4 linked regions of the Coturnix japonica genome follow. The protein of the gene in region 4 interacts with the protein of the main gene of each other region in a biochemical or structural test. Links are inferred from orthologs where the notes say so. Each region holds a gene or a part of one and is shown on either strand. Other genes may lie near its edges.

The links.
Region 1: the proteins of PATJ (region 4) and CLDN1 form a complex in vitro, tested with the Homo sapiens proteins (2 studies listed by BioGRID and IntAct, with this or other methods). The link is inferred for Coturnix japonica from reciprocal best matches to the Homo sapiens genes PATJ and CLDN1.
Region 2: the proteins of PATJ (region 4) and TJP3 form a complex in vitro, tested with the Homo sapiens proteins (2 studies listed by BioGRID and IntAct, with this or other methods). The link is inferred for Coturnix japonica from reciprocal best matches to the Homo sapiens genes PATJ and TJP3.
Region 3: the proteins of PATJ (region 4) and TANC1 interact in a test that uses a peptide from one of them, tested with the Homo sapiens proteins (2 studies listed by IntAct, with this or other methods). The link is inferred for Coturnix japonica from reciprocal best matches to the Homo sapiens genes PATJ and TANC1.

The regions. Positions count from the first base shown.
Region 1 is NC_029524.1:12,071,444-12,074,943, forward strand, and holds part of CLDN1 (claudin-1), read left to right. Parts: intron 1-1,428; coding exon 1,429-1,593; intron 1,594-1,732; coding exon 1,733-1,817; intron 1,818-1,941; coding exon 1,942-2,104; 3' UTR 2,105-3,500.
Region 2 is NC_029543.1:434,416-437,915, forward strand, and holds part of TJP3 (tight junction protein ZO-3), read right to left. Parts: intron 3,405-3,500; coding exon 3,326-3,404; intron 3,230-3,325; coding exon 3,058-3,229; intron 2,789-3,057; coding exon 2,680-2,788; intron 2,280-2,679; coding exon 2,060-2,279; intron 1,773-2,059; coding exon 1,576-1,772; intron 1,481-1,575; coding exon 1,385-1,480; intron 1,102-1,384; coding exon 1,031-1,101; intron 938-1,030; coding exon 626-937; intron 530-625; coding exon 305-529; intron 102-304; coding exon 55-101; intron 1-54. UniProt on the Homo sapiens protein: TJP1, TJP2, and TJP3 are closely related scaffolding proteins that link tight junction (TJ) transmembrane proteins such as claudins, junctional adhesion molecules, and occludin to the actin cytoskeleton.
Region 3 is NC_029522.1:33,276,658-33,280,157, reverse strand, and holds part of TANC1 (protein TANC1), read right to left. Parts: intron 3,025-3,500; coding exon 2,767-3,024; intron 1,844-2,766; coding exon 1,718-1,843; intron 556-1,717; coding exon 274-555; intron 1-273. UniProt on the Homo sapiens protein: May be a scaffold component in the postsynaptic density.
Region 4 is NC_029523.1:24,599,854-24,603,353, reverse strand, and holds part of PATJ (inaD-like protein), read right to left. Parts: intron 2,253-3,500; coding exon 1,887-2,252; intron 1,283-1,886; coding exon 1,162-1,282; intron 124-1,161; coding exon 1-123.

The sequences.
Region 1 (3,500 bases), on a different chromosome or scaffold from region 4:
CTTGGACTGCACTCCTAGCTGTGCAAACTACTTCAGGTTAAACTCAGAGACCTTTGTTGTGTACCAGCTGTGATGGATGCATGGTAGTGGTGCTGTAGGTTTGTGCTGTGCTGACCGATGGATTTTCAGGTGCTCTGTTGTACCACGTAGGCTTAAATCATGCCCTGCAAGTGCTCACAGACCTACAGAATGCATTGGTGTGGGCCGCACACCTGGGAATGGGTTATAGTGCTAAAAGAGTACATGTCACATATTGCTAAGTAACCTATGTCAGGGACAGCTCTGCCTTAGTCACAGCGTGCTCCTGGGAGCTTGCTCCTGTGATTACCCAGCCCTGTTTGCTCCCAGGTTTGTATATGAAATGGCATGCTGTTCAAACAAGCCCAGTTTGCCAGGCAGTAAAGGCTCTGGCTAATTTTACTGGTGCTTGCTCTTCATTGTTCAGTCACCTCAAAGTCATTAGCAATGACTTAGTTTCTAAAATTGGTTTTCTTTCATTATTTGTAAAATCAGAGTTCTGTAGCAAATACATACATGATTACTGTGCCATCAGATGAGTTAATATAAAGCCAAATCCTAGGTAAGGAAATAAATCTGTCTGCTGAGAGCCCAGGCCAGGATGATCCTTGCCAGTGGGAGGCATCACCCTCTGCTCCAACTCCTCAAAACCAAAAGGGGTTCCTAAAACCTTCTGTATTGAGTCTTAAATAGTTAAGGCCAAAAAGTTGTTCACTTTTCCAGGGAAAAATCCTCTTTCTGTGGCAGTAGTGATTTTATTTTAATCTTCTGGGACTCTCTTCCATTTAAAGTCTAAATCAGCATGGAGGTATTTGTACAAAAGACAGGTTTTGGAGGTGTTGAGCAATAAAGGGCCCCCTGCTGCCTGCTGTGGCACTATTCATATGTATGGTACTATTCATATTAAAACACGGCTAAATGCTTTGTCAAGGAAGGGCCCAAATCTGAATACTTCTTTTGATAAACAGATATGTCCTTCCCATTGAGATTCAAATATTCAGGGAACAAAAGATGTCTGAGGGTAATTCCCAGGTCATTTCCTGCATACCGTGTTAACCCGTGCATGTTAGAGGAGACTGAGAGAGTCCTTTGACTTTCATGCATAACAGTCCTAGAGCTTAAAACTAGAATCTCTCTTCTTTGTTGTGTCCCGGTATACCACAACAAAGTGAATTATAGAATCAGTAGGCTTGGAGAAGACCACTAAGATTATCAGTTCATCTCCCCCATGTCACCATACTACTAAATCATGGCACTCATGACTACCTCTACCCTTTTCTTGAAAACCGCTAGGGATGATGACTCTACCAGCTCCACCATGATTACTGAACCCTAGGAATCTGAGTTTCTGTGCTCTTGCTTTGTATCTTGAGTTGTCTTTGTGATAACACAAACCCTGATGTCTTGCAGGCAGTCTGCAGGCCACACGAGCCTTGATGGTGGCCTCCATACTCCTGGGCCTGGTTGGTATTTTTGTTGCTGTGATTGGCATGAAATGCATGAAATGCATGGAGGATGACCCAACGAGGAAGATGAGGATGGCGGTCTTTGGTGGGGTGATCTTCATCATTGCAGGTCAGTAACATTACAGTTATTAAATAACAGATTGTTGTTACTCCAGGTGCTAATTCTGCTGCATACTTCTATTGTGACTTTTTTGTTGACTGTTTTGTTCTTAATAGTAAACATGGCATTTTGTTCCTTCTGTGTGCAGGTCTGGCAGCACTGGTGGCCACGTCATGGTATGGCAACAGAGTGGCTCGGGCCTTCTATGACCCTTTCACTCCTGTTAACACCAGGTACTAACCCATTTGATATCACATTATAATGCAGCTTCGCAAATGTTCATTGGGTATAGTTTTGGGTGGTGGCACAGAACACAGAAGGGATTAACAGCTCTTGCTCTTCCTTGTTTCTCCCCAGATTTGAATTTGGATCAGCCCTCTTCATTGGCTGGGCAGCTGCTTCTCTGGCTTTGCTTGGGGGGATCTTCCTCTGCTGCTCCTGCCCACCGAGTGAAACCTCCTACCCACCCAGCCGAGGTTACCCCAAAAATTCCCCCTCCACAGGGAAGGATTACGTATAATGAAATGACGAAGAGGAGCCACCAGCAGTGGTAGTAAAAGCATTTGAAGAGGACACTACAATGCCGCTGTCCTGAGCTGAGTTCAGACTCTTAGGTTTTGCCTTCCTCTTCTCCCAGAAATGTGTATATTTTTATAATCCTCTTTGCTACTGGACGTAACTTCTCCTTTCTCTCCCAGCCCGTGGAGGAAGGCTAGCCTAAGCTTGTAGGTATTGCCACTGGAAAGATTGAAGCCTCCAAGCTTGGGTTAAGTTTAGTATTTGGGAGTTAAAAGGGAAAATGTTTTTAGATGGATGTTGGTGCTTTTTTTTTTTTTTTTTTAGTTTTTTTATTAAAAATAGATGGTAACAATTCAGTCCCCATATCCCATTAAGTTAGAGCCCAGCGTGGTGTGTGTAGAAATCAAAGAAACACTATATACAAAAAGAAGACCAATAGCTTAAGGGGAAAACATAATCTGGGGGAAGTGACTTTACAGGTAGGAATGTTTGAAGAGATCTAAACTGTTTTTATACTGTTACTGGTGTCATCTTCAGCACCTTTCTGTGCAAAGGGTCAGATAAAATTAAATTGCTGTGACTTAAACTAAATTCTGTTACTATATGCATGTGCTGTTGGCCAACAGAAGATGTAGTGTAAGACAGCCCAGCTTAACTGTTTCATCTTTTCACGAGATCAGTTACGATGATTGTGTATTGGCCAAGGGCTGTAACATTACAGCTACAACTGCTAGCAAACTCCCAAGCAACTGCAGGTCTCCCTGGTGCCAGGGAAGAGATAGACAGAAACAATCCCCTGTTCTCACTGTTGTCTCTGGGGCTATTGTGTTGTTCCTTAGATGCTGTTGCTGGTGGTTATTTCTTGATATTCTTAGCCTGACTGAGCTCAAAGCTATATCCCCTTGTCTGTTACAGGTCACCTTTTAACAAGTGTTACCCTCTTTCCTTGAGTCATTCCAGTTTGGGCTTAGTTATAAATTACTGATTTGTTTGCCTTATGTGGCTAAAAAATGTTAAACCAAACAATGCACTGCCACTCCCTGATGTTTCCCCATGGATACCTCTTGTACTGTCATTTGACCCTATCTTTACTCTTGCAAATACTTTCAGTCACGATATGAAGGCAAATTCCAAGGAAACTGACCCAGAGGTTATAGCATTTTCTTTCAATCCAAGCTCACCAAAGAGGGAAGAAACCCAGCATTGTAAAGATAAAGCCATCACTGCGTATTAAGTCCTTTATGAAAACGCAGCTCATGGGTTTCCCTGAAACCAGTCTGTCACTAGTGTCTGACCAGCATTGGTGAGGCTGGCTGGAGATTAGTCTGGTGTTCCTAAGAGGGTGATACCAGCTTCCCAAGGCACCGCTTTGATTTAACTAAGGATGGAAGTTGGTT
Region 2 (3,500 bases), on a different chromosome or scaffold from region 4:
CCAGGCTGTGCAGAGCTGAGCAGAGCTGTGCAGAGCTGAGCAGCACGCAGGTACCTCAGGTGCTCCTGTGCCCACTGTCCCTGCGGCTGCTGCTCTGTCACCTGTGAAAACAGACAGGTATGAGAGGGGGGCAGCAGGAATTGTGCTCCAGCTGGGACTGGGCTGTGATCCCCTGGGGCAATGGGTGGGCAAGGCACTAACACTGGACCTGCAGACATCAGAGGTGACAGCCCTTCTGCCACGAGGGTTAGGAATTCAGCCCTGTGCCCCCCCCGTGCCCCCCGTCCTGCTTTGGGGGACCCACCTGCTGGCTCACACTGTGACTGGGGTACGTCTGCGCTGGCTCAGAGGAGCGGGAAAGCGCAGGATGGTTGTAGGTGTCCTCTGCCTCACCGTCGGTGTAGGCACCCCCCTCCCCATCCGTGTCGTCGTAGTCGCTGTTGGCTTGACTGTCGCAGGTCAGGTAACCCGAGGCTGCCCTGCTCGGCGGGTTCAGCAGGTCCAGGCTGTCCCCCAGCGCTGCATCCACCTGTGGGAAGGGACAATGGGCACCTCGGTGTCTGGGCACAGAGGGCAGACGCAGCCCTGTGCAGCCCCTGCAGGGCTCAGCCTTTCTGCCCCATACATGCTCCACCGCCGTCCAGATGGGTTGGCTCTGCTGAGTCCTGACGATGCCCTTGATCTCCTCGTACCAGGAGTTGCCGCTGCCGCTGAGGCTGATGGTGGCGGTGAAGAGGTGGCTGCAGTACTTCTTCATCTTGCTGGCCTGGGCGTAGAGGCGCCGGGAGCTCTTCCTGGAGTCAGGTGCCAGCCACTGGCGCATGGCCTTGATGCCCTGCCGGCTCTCGGGCTCACAGAACACCACCACGGGGTAGTACTGCACGTAGTTGAGGCGCTCCACCGCTGATGGCGTGATGTCCAGCAGTGCGTGCTTGTCCTGGGGCAGGGCAGCAGCACTCAGCCCTGCTGCAGACAGGGTCCCCCACCCGGCTCCCATCCCAGCACACAGGAAGGTTTTGCAAGCTCTCACCCTTTCAGCAATCTGCCGCACTGAATCCAGCTTGATGACCTTGGATGACGCCCCATCTCGTGGCACACTCGCTGCAGGACACAGAGACAGGGTCAGAGAGGGGCTGGGGCAGATGTGCCACCTGTGTAGGTCTGGCCATGCTGGGTCCCAGAGCCGTGTGCCTCAATGGGGGCTGTGTGGGACCTGCCTTGCCTCACGGTGTGGGGGGGGAAGGGGTTCCTGAGTCCAAGAGGGTGCTGGGGTGTCATGGAGGGGTCACAAGGAAGGATCAGGACTGAGTAAAAAGCTCCCACGATCATCTACACCAATGTCCAGCTGCTAAGTGTAATTCATCACACTGTGGAGGGCACTTACGTGCAATCTCAAAGAGCTCAGGCTGTTCCGTGCTCAGTTTCTGCATGGCAATGTCTGTGATGGGGCCCAGGATCACCACCGGCCGCTTGAAACTGGCTGGGGGAAGAAGACAGAGCAGCTCAGGGGGGCTGGGCGCAGGGACAGCCCCAGGGCTGAGGACCCTGGGTGGGTCCAGGCAGCCTGATACCCACCTTCCTTCAGAACCACCCTCTCATATGGGGGGTAGTGGCCCTGCTTTGTGAGGGCAGACAGATCCTCGCGGCTCTTCCGCAGCGTCTTCTTGGCTCCCCGCAGACCCCGCAGCTTCCAGAACTCAGCCCGTGCCCCCGAGGGGTTGGCGCCAGGCGTGGCTTTCAGCACAGACTCCAGGCTGGCAAACTGCTCAGCCCTGGGAAGGGAAAGGGCTCAGGATCTGCAGCCTTGGATTTGCTCCTTCCATTCAAGGAGCTGGGCAGGAGTTGGGGTGCCCACTTGGTGACAGGGCTGATTCAGGCTGGGAAGCCCCTCCAGGACCTCCGTCAACCACAGCATCATCAACCCCAGCCCAGGCACCAGGCAGGTATTACATCAGCTCACGCTTCCCACCATCACCCATCAGCCCTTACCCAGCTCTTACTGGGCCCACCACCCACATCCCTGTATCACTAGGGAGCCATCCCCTGGCTCTTTCCCTACCTGCTCTGGTTGGGGATGATGCCCTTCTCCTGCTCCTGCAGGTCCCTGCCCATGCGCACAGCCAGCCAGCTCCCCAGCTTCCCTCGGTACATGGTGTCCAGCACATGGAAGACGTCCCCACGGACAAAGCTGAGCCCTGAAGGCGTGTCCTTCTCGTAGTCAAAATGCGTCCGAATGTAGAAGGAATCGCCCACATTGGATGAGATCATCTTTCTGTAAACTGGAGCCCGGGGTGAGAGTGACCATCAGGGAACAGTGGGTAGAGGAGGAATTAGGGGTAAAGGAAGGTGCTGTGCTGGCCAAGGGGGACCCTGGGGACACCTTATTTATGTGTGGTGCTCCTGGGCACACTGAGGACAGCAGGACTTGGCCCTACAGCACACAGTGGCCAATTCAAGTTGATCCACAGAGCCAAAAACCCCCCTGCTTCTGGATGCCACAAATGGCACTCCAGGATCATCCAGTGCGCTCCCATCAGCTCCCAGGGGAAGGGGAGGACGGTGTGGGGAAGAAGGACCACATTGTGGGGCAGAAAAGAGTTGTGAGGAGCTGAGCAGCCCAATGCTCACTCAGAAGAGACGGAGAGACATGAGCCCAGGAAGTCACCAGCCATCACTCACTGTCCTGCTTGCTCTGGATCCGCAGTGTGACGTCCTCACCCGGTGGGAGCTTCATAAGGAACTGCACTGCCTCCTCACGGGTCAGGTTCTGGAAACTGGTGCCGTTCACCTGTGTGGGAAAGTACTCAGATGTGTCCCACCAGTGGGATGGAAGGCAGGGGCTCCAGCATGGTCTCAGGGCCCCGGGGGGCCCAAGGAGCAGGAGGACTAACTGACCCCTGCTAGCATAATGCTGGGAACAGGACCATCCCCTACCAGCACTGCCTCAAAATGATGCTCAGTGGGAGAAATCGAAACAGTATGAGGAGTATTTGGCATGGGAGGGACAGGGACAAGCCAGGCACTAAATCATTCAGTGCCACTCCCACTTCCAGGTACCTGCAGGATCTGGTCCCCTTCCTCGATGCCCTGGCTGTCGGCTGGGCTCCCCTCCTGCACACCCGACACAAAGATGCCCACGTCGTTCCCACCAGCCAGCCGCAGCCCCACGCTCCTGGCCTTCACAAACTGCACCACTCTGGAGTCAGGACTGTACCTGCCCGGGGGAGGCCTGGTGGTAACACAATGATGGTCACCAATGCTGAGCCCCCAGCCCTGGAGCAGCCCCAGGGCTCAGCCCTTCCCACCACCTCTTGCAGCGACGCACCCATCGTTGGGGGCAGCTCGGGCAGTGGTTCTGCTGCGGGGGCTGTGGTGGCCATCCTGTTCCATGGCTTCCAATGTGTCTGCAAGGAAGGAGAGCTGGTCCAGGAGGTGCCGATGGCTGTGTGCCTCTTCCCCAGACCACTGAGACATGGGGAGAGCTGGTGGGAGTGGGGACA
Region 3 (3,500 bases), on a different chromosome or scaffold from region 4:
CATGAAAATAATGCATTTACTGCATTTACAGAGGCAGTGGATGCCCTATCCCTGGAGACAATGAAGCTCAGGCTGGGCAGGGCTTTAAGCAACCTGATCTAGCTGTAGGTGTCCCCGTTCACTGCAGGGGAGTTAGACCAGATGGCCTTTAAAGGTCGCTTCCAACTCAAAGGATTCTGTAAGCCCTGCTAAATTAGGTCAGAACAGCAAGCAATGTTCTGATTATTCTTGTCAGTACAATAACCCAAACAATTATTCGCAGAAGGGACTTACTCTGGGGGGATGAATTAGGACTGTTTGAAGCTATTTGCCTCATGCGACTTCCATGGCAGCTAAGTGCCACCAGACGAGAAATAATAGCAGTCTTCCCAAATCCCACATTCCCAGTAATAACTGTTCCTCTGCTTTCTGCCAGGCCCGTATTCTTCAGTTTTTCTTCAATTGCCTGAAACAGCCATTCTCTTCCAACAAACACCGAGTCTGTCGTTATGCTTGGCACTTCAAACAGTAATGGCTTTAGCAAAATGTCTTGAGGCTTATAGGTGACAAAACGTGCTGAGAAGAAGTGGCAGGGAGAAAAGTTTATTAGAAGAAACCAGACATGCAATAAAACAGCATTGTCTCAGAAGATCATTTTGTTCAGTGACATTTTTGATCATGTTCACAACAAGAATTCTTCTAAGGCTTCCATAATGGAAACAAGAAAAAAACATTTGCTCAGTTTGGGTCACCTCCATAATTCTTATGTGAAGTAAACTCTGAATGAGTTTAAAAATGTCCTATAAGTATACGTGTATGTTTGAACATGGCTTTTCTTAAAAAGTCATCAATAATTCTATAAAATAAAAAGTACCAAACATCTTTCAATTTAACATGATCCACCCTACTGAGCATTTCAGTATCATGTCTTTAAAGCTGTAAAAACATCTACAGAGGAATAGAAAAAGGCAGATAATTTTTTTCTAGTTTTAAATAAAGAATTTTTTAAGTAACATAAAAATAATATTACTCACTTCTTCAGTCTCTTTGAAGCTACAAGAAAAGAATGTACTCTATACACAGCTAGAATCATAGTCATGCTTGATAACATTAATCGACATGCTTGGTAAACACATGACAAGATTTATAAGAGAATTTTTTTTTAATACACTGAAGTCTACAAAAGCAGTAATATTCACTGATGAAATTTACACAAACATTCAGCTGTAATCAATAAATATGTAAATTGCCAATACCAATAGTGTTTTTCAAATATCAGAAATATTAAAGCCTATTTTTGTCACCAACAGGCTTAGTGGTATTAGATCAGTTTTTTTTTCCAACACCAGAACTCTAATGACAGTCTCTGAAGGCCTTTAATCCACTCACTGAATTGTCTGTTAAATTGCAGTGGGTGGTTAACTGAGTATCACGAGTTGGTAAAATATGGCAGACAGGAAAGCTGTCATTGGTATCACATAACTTCACTATGGACATTCACATCATCTACACAGCACTACTTATAAGCATTTAGGTAAACAAGATACTGATTTACCATTAAAAGCCATACATTTTGTCTCTAAATCACAGCACTACACAGCAAAGAGTATGAACAGGCACATTACTTTCAAACAGTATCTGTGATCTGTCAGGAGTACTCTAAAATATCGTATGTATTACAGAATCACTAACAGCAGTGTGACTGTGCAAAGACAGTTACAGATGTAAATGTGCCTACCTTTGTTTTCCTGCTGCACTCTTCCACCAGCAGTGTTGTGCCAAGGTAAGCGAATTGAAGTGCGTAAAGGAGTATTTCTTTGTCCATCCAAATAACTCAGATCTTCTAGTTTGGTAGAACTTGTTGCTACAGAATTAAGAAATTGAAGATCATTAAGTTTATTTTTATTACATGATATATATATTTTTGGGGGGTGGGGGGATAGGGAGTGGGAATAAAATACAAGCTAGCAGTTCCTCTATGTGGAGAGATCTCTTATTCCTGTACTACTGACCCCCTGAAATGCTCTGTGAAAGTGTGGTGTTCTTCAGCCAAGTATGCTTTTCTCACCAGCTTATGTCTTTGATTCAAAACTTGGCCAGCTGAATTTAAAGTGACACTGTAACTCCTGAATAGTTTCAAGTGGCATTATCAGAAGTTCAAAATTCCTGCCCAAGTTGCTAGAGCCAAAATATTGCCATTCATAGTTTTAGAAGTTGGTTTACCAACTGTACTTCCCTCACACAACTTGACACACTAAGAAAAATCCATGCAGCAATTTTTGTTCCATCTTTTAAGCTAAAAATAGTCCCTTCTACAGAAAACAGTTTCTAGCTGGAATCAAGTACAGTATCTTTCTCTCTTCCTTCTGAACACCAATAACCAAACCCTCTAACCTCTCCACTGGTTTTCTTCACTCTGTGTTTACTACTTAACTTCTAACTTTCTGTTAGCTGTTAACTAAATCTAGCGTCACATATATGGTACCCACATTTCTCAACACTTCATCCGATGATTTTGTTTGCAGGGTCATAGTTATGTAAGCAAACATCCTGTTACTGAATTTGTTGGGTACTGCTAATGGAGCTCAAGTCAGATGCACTTGTCCAAGCATTTATCGATTTCACAGCACTTGAGGCAATTCATGTAATATGCATCTATTTAGCTTAGAACTTATGCTTCTTTGTCCAATAAAAATACTTCCATACTAACAACATAACTTCAACTGAAAGATTAAACAGAGATGTCACATCACTGACAAAAAATCCTTTTTGTATCTCAGTATTCACCTGCAACAGAGTTTGGACGAGGCATTATTAAAGATCCAGAACTCTGAGAGTAAGGAACAGGACCCTCTCCTGTTGGTACTTCCTTCGGCACATTCTCAGCAGATCCAACAGCCTCCTCTTCTGCAACCGGTGAACAATTGTCAGTTCTTCGATCGTGACCAATTCCTCGGTGTGCTCCAGCTCTGAGACTCCCATCCTTGCTCCATTCCAAACTGGATCCACTACGATCATCATTTTCTGATGAGCTTGTTACAGTTGCTGAGAAAGAAAATTAGATCTGAAGTACACCTCAAAAGAAAATGGCCTACCTGTGTTAATATGCATGATGGTTTTCAAACTCATACAGCATCTGTGGCCTGGTTCTGAAGTGGATAATCTGTTAAACTGGAGTAACATTACTTATCTAAAAGGCCTAATAACACAGCTTCTCAAACTGCCAAACACAATCAGAGAAGGCAGGCTTGATGGTTTAATTTTCACAGAATCACAGCATGGCCTGGGTTGCAAAGGCCCACAGTGCTCACCCAGCTCCAACCCCCTGCTGTGTGCAGGGTCACCAACCAGCAGCCCAGGCTGCCCAGAGCCACATCCAGCCTGGCCTTGAATGCCTGCAGGGATGGGGCATCCACAGCCTCCTTGGGCAACCTGTGAACAGTGCGTCACCACTCACAGGCAGATAGCAGTACTGATACTGAACCATTAAACCAGGGAGCAGAAATAAAGGTGTTACAATT
Region 4 (3,500 bases):
AGGTGGTAATTCTCACAGATTTTTCATTCTTGGAAAACATATAATCCTCCCCTTCTTCCTTTTCAACACCTTCCAGGTCAACAGCGAGACCAGGTACTTCGGAGTCCATCTGAAGCTTTGTACCTGATGAAGTAAAGGCTCAGATGTAAACTTTTGCTTCCTCTGTCTCTGCATCTACCTATCACCTTTGGAAATAAACCCCCCAGCACAACCATGTTCCAGATGTGAATGGTGAGAGATGATCAAGAAGCTCAGAGATACAGAATATTTATTTGTGAAGGAAATTTAAAGCATGCTGATTTATTTATCTTTAATAACACCTTGCCTCTGACCTGCAGTCACGCAATAAGAGAAAATGCCAAATCTTATTGGAATCGAGACATGCATAGCTACAACTCACATGGCATATGTTTCTCACAAAAACATGATTAGAAGTACTGAATCCATCCTTCATGCAAGGAGAGCTGTACAAAGCCCTGATCCAGCATGGATGACTGATGTCATTTCAGTGCCATAAATATCAACACTAATTAAATCACTAGAGCTCCTTGCTAGAGTCATTAGTCTGTTGTACAAGATGCAGGTGACAAAGAATGGAAAGAACCCCTTTCTCCCAGTAAATGAGCACTATCACAAGCAGGCTGATAAACTATTTCACTGATAACATACCAATTTCTAATCACTGACTTTGGGGGGGGATGAAATTCATTTGGCCTTGAAGAGGTACCCTGAATTATGTATACTTGTGTAATGAAACTGCAGCAACCCAGATTCGATGTAAAGCAAATGCTTGTCAAAAAATCCACCTCCAAACTCTTCTCCCTCCAAGATGTCACTTCATTCATTCTGGTGTGTCCATTACCACTCATATGCTTTGACTGAGTTTCTCACTGAGGCAGCCTGGAGAAGGTAAGAGCTCATCCAGTGAGACCAGAAGACAGGTATAAACCCACAGGGCAAAGCTCTCACACACAGGGACAACAATCTCACTGCCCTGAGACAGTATGGAAACTGGAAAGGTTCACATCTGATTTAAAGCCAGACATCATTGGAAATGCACAGAAGCTGACAGAGAAAATAAAGTAGACCATGCATGGAGTTAAATTTATAAGTACAAAGTTACAACACATAAAGAAAAAATAGGAAAAACTTCTCACAAACCTAAATCCATTTTGTTTCTTGATCCTGACTGGGTAGCTCCAATATCCAGTAGGCCTTTCTGGCAGTCACCATGTGCAGTGGTTCCAGAAGATTGTGAAGTTCTATTAGCATTTTCTTCATACTTCAGGAGGAGAAAAAAGTGAAATTAGAAAGCAACAGTATCAACTTACATACAAGTATCTGACATGAATGTTAATTTTACATCAAACATTCACATTTTCTCAACTACATAGCTACCTATTCACATAATGGACAACAACACTACTGTAAGTACCTAAGCTGCACTACCATCTGGTTCTAGGAGCTGACTGAGATTAAAAATAATGAGGAAAAGAGGGAGTTCATTTCACTGACATTGCTGCTGGAGGCCCCAGCATGACCTGACTTTGGTTATTACTGAAACATATCAAATAAGTAGAACTTGCAGCAAAGAAGGCAGTCCAGATATCACAGATGGGAAAGAGGACGGAAGTATAGGATAGCTATAAATACACCAACCAGAGGATGTACCTCACCCAAGCAAATGTACAGTCACCGTGTAACAAAACAGAGCCTTCCAAAACGTACTAAAAGATAGACCAGTGTCCATTAGAGGTGCTCAGATCTGAACTAGTAATTAAAGCACAAGACAGACTGATTACAGAATTTAGGTCTGAAATTTGCCTTAAGGAATACAGGTCCCTACCATCAGGGTACAGCACTGAGACACACACAGCATTACTTACCATCTGCTCCTTACTGAACATATATTCCAGGGGCTGCTTTGGACTTAAGTTAGCACTGGATCTCAAGTCTTGTATTTTATCTGTCTTAAGTTGTTCTGCCCATTCTGTACTCAGGTTCTTCTCTGAAGATGCTTCCTGTCTGTCTGATGAGCTATATTTCAGGAAGTCTACATCTTCTTCATACTCATCCACCAACATTTCCCTTTCTTCATCCCCTTCTTCCGTTCTGGGCTTCCAGAATTCACACATCTCCCAGGACTCCTTCTCATATCCGCTGTCATTTTGAGAAAGCTGAAATGACCTTCCCAAGTCCAAAATTGGTTCATCGTCAGTTTCTTCTTTAAAAGGTGTTTCATCTCTGAAACCCTGCATAAAGCATTACAGGAATATAGATTTTTCATTATGTTTCTTGCTAGGTCTTAAAACTATGTTTTACATCAGATCACATTAAAATTACCTCCCGATTTTTAAAGTGAAAATCTTCTACCCCTTGCATTTTTCTCAAAGAAAATGCACTCTCTGACTTATTACATTAATAGCAAAAGTAACCACTGCAATACCCCTTAAATATGAAGAAATTTCATTTGGACAGTTCAGATATTGCTGCAGCCATTCAGAATAACTACTATGGACTGAAGTGAGGAATAAGGATTTTTAAACTATACAAAAAAAAAACTACGGGGGAAAAAAAACCACAACAAACAACCACATCCAAATCCAACTAAAGTATCTTTGTAACCCACATTTATTGTTATTGCTGTGTCTATACAAGTACATTTCTTATAATACAACAGCACCAGTTAAATGAAACTCAGTCTGAGTTCAAACCACAGAGCAAGGTACAACAAAACCAAAAAGACATTCAAGCCTCCCCTCATCCAGACCCCAAGACGTGAAAGATCTTGCTCAACAGTTCTTTCCCTGGGATTTGTCTCCCCAGTTTCCAATGCTTTGTGTTTCTCCTAAATTGAATGAGGAGCAATTCATCAGCTAACGGAGCGAGGCTGACTGCAGATACAGACTGCATGGACACCCCTGAAATTTTACACTTTACAGAACTATCAGAAAGCTTGCCATGGGCTGAAAGCTTTTCTTCTCTTTACTTTAGGCCACTGAGCATGTACGCCCAAACTTGGTCTTCAGGGCACTGAGACCCTGAACACAAATCACTCTGCAGATTCAGGGGTCCTGAATCAAAATGTTTTCCCTTCTGCTTCCTGCCTCTTCCCAGGCTCCCCACGGTACTTCACTATTTCTGACCCTTAGTGTCAGTGTCCTGTTTTGTTAGAAAAAGCCCAGACACTGCCAAAAAGTGCTCACAGTTCAAATGAGTGTCAGGAGAGAAAGCAAGAGACAGACAAGAGCATAAGGAAACAGTGCAGTAATACGAGCTGGCACGAACACATTGCATTAGCAATCTAGAGGTTACCCCATTTTTCATAGGCATTAAATGTTCTTTTTTGCCCTGAGAACCTCAATCTCACAAAATATCCCATCTGAAGAGATTCTAATTCTCTTCATTGTTACTTCAATTCATTTCACTCCTGCTGCATCATTCTCACAACACTGCAGTCTTCTAAGAGCCACCAACTTCATCATAATATTAAACAGTTC